Linked DNA regions of Callithrix jacchus. The protein of the gene in region 1 interacts with the protein of each later gene in a biochemical or structural test. Links are inferred from orthologs where the notes say so. Each region holds a gene or a part of one and is shown in the gene's direction. Other genes may lie near its edges. The genes, in order: AREG and S100A4.

Evidence for each region.
Region 2: the proteins of AREG (region 1) and S100A4 form a complex in vitro, tested with the Homo sapiens proteins (2 studies listed by IntAct, with this or other methods). The link is inferred for Callithrix jacchus from reciprocal best matches to the Homo sapiens genes AREG and S100A4.

What each region holds. Positions count from the first base shown.
Region 1 is NC_133504.1:123,666,926-123,671,264, reverse strand, and holds the start of AREG (amphiregulin), read left to right. Parts: upstream 1-1,277; 5' UTR 1,278-1,488; coding exon 1,489-1,549; intron 1,550-2,560; coding exon 2,561-2,809; intron 2,810-4,339.
Region 2 is NC_133519.1:13,957,608-13,961,867, reverse strand, and holds the start of S100A4 (protein S100-A4), read left to right. Parts: upstream 1-1,387; 5' UTR 1,388-1,400; coding exon 1,401-1,538; intron 1,539-3,225; exon of another isoform or gene 3,226-4,067; intron 4,068-4,197; coding exon 4,198-4,260. Other genes in the region: S100A3 (protein S100-A3), read left to right, coding at 223-368, 847-1,011. UniProt on the Homo sapiens protein: Calcium-binding protein that plays a role in various cellular processes including motility, angiogenesis, cell differentiation, apoptosis, and autophagy.

The sequences.
Region 1 (4,339 bases):
CAGAGTGGAAAACAGCAGATTTCAGAATTAGATAAAGGATTCAAATCCACCTGGCTTTAAACACTGCTGGCTGTGAGATGGTGCAGGTAAACTTTTTTTTTTTTTTTTGAATTTTTATTGGATTTTAGGTTTTGGGGTACATGAGCAGAGCATGCAAGACAGTTGCGTAGGTACACACATGGCAGTGTGCTTTGCTTTTCTTCTCCCCTTCACCCACATTTGGCATTTCTCCCCAGGCTATCCCTCCCCACCTCCCCCTCCCACTGGCCCTCCCCTTTTCCCCCCAATAGACCCCAGTGTTTAGTACTCCCCTTTCTGTGTCCATGTGTTCTCATTTTTCATCACCCACCTATGAGTGAGAATATGCGGTGTTTCATTTTCTGTTCTTGTGTCAGTTTGCTGAGGATGATGTTCTCCAGATTCATCCATGTCCCTACAAACGACACAAACTCATCATTTCTGATTGCTGCATAATATTCCATGGTGTATATGTGCCACATTTTTCCAATCCAGTCTATTATCAATGGGCATTTGGGTTGATTCCAGGTCTTTGCTATTGTAAACAGTGCTGCAATGACACAACGTGCCAGAACCTCTGGGACACATTTAAAGCAGTCTCTAGAGGAAAGTATATAGCAATAGGTGCAGGTAAACTTTTAAATGCATAGTATGGCAATAATAAATCATCAAAAAATATTAATGTTGATGAGGGCCCTGGGCCACATAAAGAAACGGGGAGCGAGGGAATTTGAAATTCTGGCCACTTCACAGAAATGGGTGGAAAGGGGGCCTTGGTTGAGATAGAGGCCCATCCTACATGAAGCAGTTCCTCATTAAGAGGTCTCTCTCGTCCTTTATCCTTGCTGGAAACATCAGGCTATCACTGCAAATTCACTCTTGGTCTTAAAGTACTTTTACAGCTAAATACGGAACTATTCTATTTAATCCCTGTCTGTTGTAGATGTTGAAATCAACCAAAGTACACGAAGAGGTTTGTCAGTTTGAAATGTCGGGACTTTTTTTTTTTTTTTTTTTTTTTTGAGGAACTCCAATCCTGCCCGCCCTCAAATACGGATGGGCTCTTTTGCTCCTCGCAGCTAGAGGTTTAAGAACCACTCCCTCCCCGAGAACTGTTTACGCACGAGAAGGCGGGGCGCGTGTCCTCCTCCTGTGGTTTTCGGGTAGCACCTTCTGGGGCGCCGCCTGCTTCCACCCAGGGCCCGGCCCTGACGTCACAGGCAAGAGAATTATAAAGCGGCAGGTGCGCACCGCCCTACGGACGTTCGCACACCGGGGTGCCAGCGCCACAGAAGTCCCCGGGAGAGCCCGAGGCGCCGCGTGCGTAGCCCCGAACTCCCGCAGCCTTGGAGCGCGGCGCACAGTCCCGGTCTTCACTCGCTCTTCCCACACCCGTTCCTTTCCGCCGCAACTCCGGTCCCAGAGACCGATTTGCCCCAGAGACTTAGACGCCGCCGCTCCGAAGGACCAATGAGAGCCCCGCTGCTGCCGCCGGTGCCGGTGGTGCTGTCGCTCTTGATCCTCGGCTCAGGTGAGGGTCCCCCGCTCTTAACTGCGGGCTCTTCTCCCACAGCAGGCAAAAGCTGTTGCCTCTTGAGTTTGGCTTTTACTTTTCCAAATCTGCGCCGCGGGAGGTGATCGCTATAGCTCCCTCCCTAGGAGGAAGAGAAAAGGGAAGACGTCTCAGACGTCCAGGACAAGATGTCCCAGAGAATCTCTGTACTTTTTCCTCTAGTCCAGCTGAGGAGGCGGAGACATCGTTTGAACCGAACCCTTGGTTTCACAGTTGAAAAGATCAAGGTCTAGAGAGGTGAAGTGATTTCCGCAGATCTCGGGCGCAGCAGCCTTTGCTGCCTCCTACTTAATTCTCCATCTCCTCCGTCTAGTGATTTCATCTTTACTTTCTCAGAGGGAGTGTCCCGGCGGGAGGTTAAAAGCTCCACTCTGATGCTGTTTTATTGAGCTCTAAAAGAAAATGCAAGATAAAGCAGTGGCTTAACTCTGGGCTCAAAATCTTACTTAGTATTCAATTTATTCTCTATGTAGTAACAATAATGAAAAATGGCAATAATAGATATAATTACTGTTTATATATGTTTACGTTTTATGTACATGATCTTTTAAAAATATGAACACATATTAAGAAAATCTGATATTTACATCTAGAACCTATTGAAACAGGCCAGGATGGCATTCTAGCAAACAAAATGCATTTGGAATGTGAAGTGATGAGACTATTTAGACATTACCTATTAAGTAATTGTATTAGATTAATTTGCCAATTTGGCAGGATTTTTTGATGTGGAAATTAATATCTGTGGAGAAGAAAAATATCATAAAAGCAGCTCTGTAATTGGGACAGCTGAATTTGCTTGCTGGCAAAAATGTGAAGTTTCTTTCACAGAAGTGACTCAATCACAAACAATAGCACATGTGCAATCACTGCTTTGATGTCAAAAGATAAACATTTCTACCTAACACAGCTGACTGGAGAGAAAGGCACTCTACCTTTTCTTTTCTTCCCTTCTTCCCTCCCCTGCAGGCCATTATGCTGCTGGATTGGACCTCAATGACACCTACTCTAGGAAGAGTGAACCATTTCCTGGGGACCAAAGTGCTGATGGATTTGAGGTTACCTCCAGAAGTGAGATGTCTTCAAGAAGTGAGCTTTCACCTGAGAGTGAAATGTCTTCTAGTAGTGAACTGTCGTCGGGAACCGACGATGACTATTCAGAAGAGTATGATAATGAACCACAAATACCTGGCTATATTGTAGATGATTCAGTCAGAGGTGAGTAGAGGATAAAGCAAAAATTTAGCCTATGAGATGTAGGTTTAATGAGCAAAGTTGCTTCAGAAGAAAAGCTCCTCCCCAAATTTTCTACTAGCTTTATTTTACATGCATCTGTTGCATACTCCCTAGGTACACTGAGACAAAAAGAACCACAATGTGGGCACATCCTATAGGACCAGAGTGATCATAGATGGTTTATGTCCCATTTTTAAACCTAATCTTCACAATGACTTTAGGAATTGTTATCCTCATTTTACCGATGTGATAACTGAAGCTCAAAAAGGTTCTTTTGTTCTAGTTTCCACAGGTAACAAGCAGGTGAGCTAGAATTAGAGCTCCAGTTTGTTTGATTCTATGCAGAAGAGACACTAAGCTCTTTCCCACTGTGCTACTTGACCCCCATCCTGAGAGACAAATTTAGACATTGTCTACTTTGTATCATAGTTTTTGAATCCCTTTCCCCAACACCCTCCTTCCCTAGATAAACTGCATTTTAACACAAATAAGGGAACAGAGGAAGTAATGGGACAGGAGGCATTAGACTTTAGCATTTAAGTAGTAGGTGATGAGAAACTGATGGAATAATGATAATAATACCATCTGGAAATATTAAAGAAGGGTGAATATTCATAGATTTTGTATTGCTAAAATCACCATTTAACCAACCCCAAATACCATTTGTTGGTTAGATATTCATGACCTATGGTTTCATTCACTTTCCTGTTATTTCATATTTTAAAAAGGTCCTTTGCTTGAAGTGAAAGTAAAGAAATAAGAGATAAATAGTACATACTTTGGAATTTGAAGGAAGCATAGGTTAACAATAAATAAGATGTAAATATCCTAGGCGCATCCACTACAGAGGCAGGGAAAGATGGTTTCAGAGGTCTTGAAGGTCTTTTCTTTCCCAACTTGGAGGCTCTCAGAACTAGTGAAGGGACATCAAGTGGTATCACAGGGATAGTGACTGGGGTAAGTGGGAGGTGAGTAAACATTTAGGAAACACTCCACTTCTCTCTCTTCCTTCTGAAAGTGTGTCTTTCTGTGAGGTGGGAAGGGGTTCATTAATGCTTATTTTTGAAGGCATAAGATTAGACCATCAAGGTCTCTAGAAACTGTTCTCTTAAACATGTTTCAAGTTGTTAACACTTCAGAAGGCCAAGTAAATGATTAGTAGTACAAGTGACTAATGTTCAAAATTGCAATGCATTGTGAAATAGAGTGAAAATGTTGGTTGAACACCTTTGAAAGGCTAAGTTAAATGTCTATGATGTTAGTGTTTATTGCAACACTTCAGCATAGTGACTTTTTATTATTTGTCTCTGTCTATAGTTTGTAATCTATCTGATAAAATCAAGTTATAATCAATCAAAATATTTCTTTTAAAAGACTTTTCTATCTTGTGCTTTTTTTGTCATCACAGAAAAGTTTCAACATAAAAATTACATAACCACCTCTTAAACATTTGCTCCAATTTTACTTTTGTTAAATGTTATTATAATAATCTGCTGAAATACATAGTATTTA
Region 2 (4,260 bases), on another chromosome or scaffold:
GACCTCTACATGTGGAAAATCACAAGAGGGCAGCAGGGAGATAAATGAATAGGGGCTGGTGTGGTCCAGGAGGGCTGCTCAGAGGAGGGGAAGCCATGGGGCCTGAAGCCTGGTGGAGGTTAAGCTGGGTCTGGGAACAGTCTCTGAGAAACATGGAAGGCAGAGGTGAGCAGGGGGCTGGCCTGGAACTCTGCTGTGAGTCACGCCCTTGTTCTGTGACAGTGAGGATGGCCAGGCCTCTGGAGCAGGCGGTAGCTGCCATCGTGTGCACCTTCCAGGAGTATGCCGGGCGCTGTGGGGACAAACACAAGCTCTGCCAGGCTGAGCTCAAGGAGCTGCTGCAGAAGGAGCTGCCCACCTGGACCCCGGTGAGTACGCAGAGTGTCCGTACCCTCCTCACCCGGCAGGAGGTAAGGCCTGGACTCTGCAAAGAGAGTCGTGGGGACAAGCCGGAGCACAGGTCCACAAGGGGAGGAGGCTGGACTGGAAGGAGGGAGTAGCAGAAGCCTCAGCTTCCTCACCTGTAAAATGGAAGGACAATCATCACACCTGCTGCCTTGCAGGGTTGTGAGAGGACTGAGCGAGAGCACCATGAAGAATGCCTAATGCGTAGTAGGCACTCAGTAGCAGATAGTAGGTGCTCAATTGACAATCTGAGAGGGTGGATTTGGGAGGGGATCGCAATGGGTGCATTACTGGAACAGGTAGGTTGAAGTCGGCCCTCGGAAGGGTGTAGTTTGGGGTGGGGTGGGTCCGCTTGGGAGAGGAGGGAGGGCAGTGGCGTGCGAGGCTGTTCTGCCCTCCTCATCCTGCTCCCCCACCCTTCCCCACCCCTCCCTTGCACAGACCGAGTTTCGGGAGTGTGACTACAACAAATTCATGAGTGTTCTGGACACCGACAAGGACTGCGAGGTGGACTTTGTGGAGTACGTGCGCTCACTGGCCTGTCTCTGTCTCTACTGCCACGAGTACTTCAAGGACTGCGCCCCAGAGCCCCCCTGCCCCCAGTAGCCTCCGCTACTACTCCCCCACCCTCTCTCCTGCACCCCTTCCAATCTGGACTTGCCAAGGTCTTCCGTGATCAGTTAACCCATTTTACCCAGGATGCCCAGCGAGGGAGGGGTAGAGCCACTCTGGGCCCCAGCCTGCCCGCCGCACCCCTACTGCCTCCCCTGTGGTTGGGAGGAGGCGGGATCTGCTCTGAGACCCCAGTGAGACCTCGATGGGAAGGGGCCTATTTAACTCCTAATAAAAGGCTGGCATCAGCTTGGCTTTGTTTGGTTCTTCTCCGGGGACGCGTCTGCTGAGCTCTTTGCTCCTCTCTGGACTTTTCCACTGCAGGAGGGCAGCTGAGGGCAGGAGCAGGAGGCTCCCCCAGGGACGTTTCAGACCCTGCAGAAATGCCGTGGCCTCCAGAGTCCAGCAGGAGGGCGTGGGGCCAACACTGGGACCCCCGTCCTCCCTTCCTCTCTCTTTCTCTGGGGGTCTTTGAGAGAGGGCCGCCTAAGTTTCTCCTGGGACTCAGTGCTCTTGATCAGGTGATATGACGAGGGTGGGGTGAGGGTGGGGTGGGGCTGTTAGTTCCCTGCCGCGGGCTGTGGGAGCCCAGAGAGCAGCACTAATGGGATTAGAGTGTTTGAGGTGTTTACTCCCAGCCAGGGCGGGGTGCCGGTGTGGAGGGGGCAGGGGGTATCTTGAGGCAGTCCCCATCCCTGAAGCCACAGCCCCCTGAGGGCCTTAACCCCCTACTTCTAACCCTCACTGAGCTTGCAGCCCACCCTGAGAGGTCGACCCAAATCCTGACTTCCCTATTTTGTGCCATTTCGCCTCTCACTCTCCACCCCAACCTGGATTCTTCATTCCCGACACTCACCCCAACTTTAAATGGCACCCCCGATAGCTTCTCCGAACCTGGGGTCTATCCATGAGACCCCACGCCTCATTGCCACCCATTCCATCACTACCTCACCCAGAACCTTTCCCATTGACATTTATGAGGTGGTCCCAGAGCCTCTTTTGTGTATGAACCTCTTCCCCTCCAGACCCCCCAGCTCCGGCCCTGGGCCTTACTTGGCATGGCAGACAGTACTGGGCCTGGGGATCCCCTCCCCCATTTTTGTTTTTTAATCTTTATTTATTTACTTTTTGAGACAGAGTCTCCCTCTGCCACCCAGCCTGGAGTGCAGTGGCATGATCTCGGCTCACTGCAACCCCCACTTCCCAGATTCAAGCAATTCTCCTGCCTCAGCCTCCTGAGTAGCTGGGATTACAGGCGTCTGCCACCACACCCGGCTAATTTTTTGTAATTTTTACTAGAGATGGGATTTCACCATCTTGGCCAGGCTGGTCTTGAACTCCTGACCTCATGATCCACCCGCCTCGGCCTCCTAAAGTGCTGGGATTACAGGTATGAGCCACCGCGCCGGGCCTTAATCTTCATTTTTTTTAAGAGACAAGGTCTCGCTGTGTTGCCCAGGCTGGAGAGCAGTGGCTTGAGCATAGTTCACTGCAGTCTCAAATTCCTGGGCTCAAATGATCCTCCTGTTTTAGCTTCCTGACTAGCTGGGACTACAGGCTCCAGCCACGCTGTCTAGCTAATTAAAAAAACTTTTTTGGCTGGGCGCGATGGTTCACACCTGTAATCCCAGCACTTTGAGAGGCCGAGGCGGGTGGATCACCTGAGGTCCAGAGTTCAAGACCAGCCTGGCCAACATGGTGAAATGCGGTCTCTACTAAAAATACAAAATTGGCTGGGTGTGCTGGGACATGCCTGTAATCCCAGCTACTTGGGAGGCTGAGGCAGGAGAATCACTTGAACTTGGGAGGCGGAGGTTGCAGGGAGCCGAGATCAGGCCATTGTACTCTAGCCTGGGTAACAAGAGTGAAACTCCATCTCAAAAAAAGAGGGGAGACTACTCTCTCCCTGTCGCCAATGCTCTAGGCACAGGCTGCCCTTCCTCCACCTCTCTAAAACTCAGGCTATGTACACTGGGTAGTGTGTATCACATCCAGGTCTCTGCTGGTGGTAACCATTGGGGCTTACCCCTTGCCCACAGGGGCCCACCTGGGGACAAGAAGCTTGGTTCCAAGGCTGGGCTGGTGGACGGTGCTGTGGCCCTTACCATGTCAGCCCACAGTAGGAGGGCAGTATCTGCTCTCCCCCATCCCCTGCTATGGGCAGGGCCTGGCGGGGGTATAAATAGGTCAGACTGCTGGGCCGTCCCCGTTCTTCCGCTCTCTACAACCCTCTCTCCTCCACTTCTTCTCCCTTGGCCTGGTGAGTTGTGTTGGCCTGACTGGCATGCAAGGGGTGTCAGAGGCCAGGGCTGGGGCAGGAGAAGGGGAGGTGGGTGGGGGCGAGATGTGCTAAACAGATCCAGATGTGAGATTCTGATGTGGAAGCTCTGGATAGAGTGTGTGTGTGTGGGTGTGTGCGTGGGTGTGCATGTGCACACACACACGTGCATGTAAGAGGGAGGAAAAAACAAACAGAAAAGCGAGCAAGTGGCTGGCTTTGAGCTCTCCAGGTGCTTCTGAGATGCGGCTTGCATGTGCTGTTGCTCTAGTGTGTGTCGGTGTATATGTGCCCGTGGGTATATGCACTGGCTCACGCTTGCTGGGTTGCATGCTCGGGTGCAGGAAGCAAAGCAAAGGCAGAAGGGAACTGTGGGTGTTTGTCTGGTGGTGTGCGCCAGGAGCCTCTGCCCTGCACCCAGCAGCCCAGGTCGAGAGCATGGCCTCTGCACCTTCTCCTCCAACCCTTGACTCTGCCACCTCACTCTGCCCCTCCCTAGGCTGAGCGCTAAGCGGCTGGTTTTTTCCGCTGCAGGGCCCTGGGCAGGCCTCCAGCAGCCTCGCCCATTGCTGGGAGGGAGAAGAATGGCCAGGGCGGGGCCTTTGTGGCTGAGCTGTGGGAGTGGATTGACTGAGTGAGGGGTGGAAAAAATGCTGTTGTTGAGGAGAGGCCTGGGAGCTTGCTGCCTGAATCTCCAGAGCCTGTGCAGAGGGTCCTGCAAACATCCACTGTTCACCGCCCGGAGCATGTGTTCCCCACACCCTCCCACCAGGTGCTGGGCCCGCTGCTCTGAGCCCCCCCAGGGAGGGAGCAGAGTCTCACCAAGTGCTCCCAGCAAGGGATGTGAGTGCATCGCTGGGGGGTGGGGTAAATAAGAGGGTCTCTGTGCCTCCTGCCCCCAGATCCTGACGGCTGTCATGGCGTGCCCCCTGGAGAAGGCCCTGGATGTGATGGTGTCCACCTTC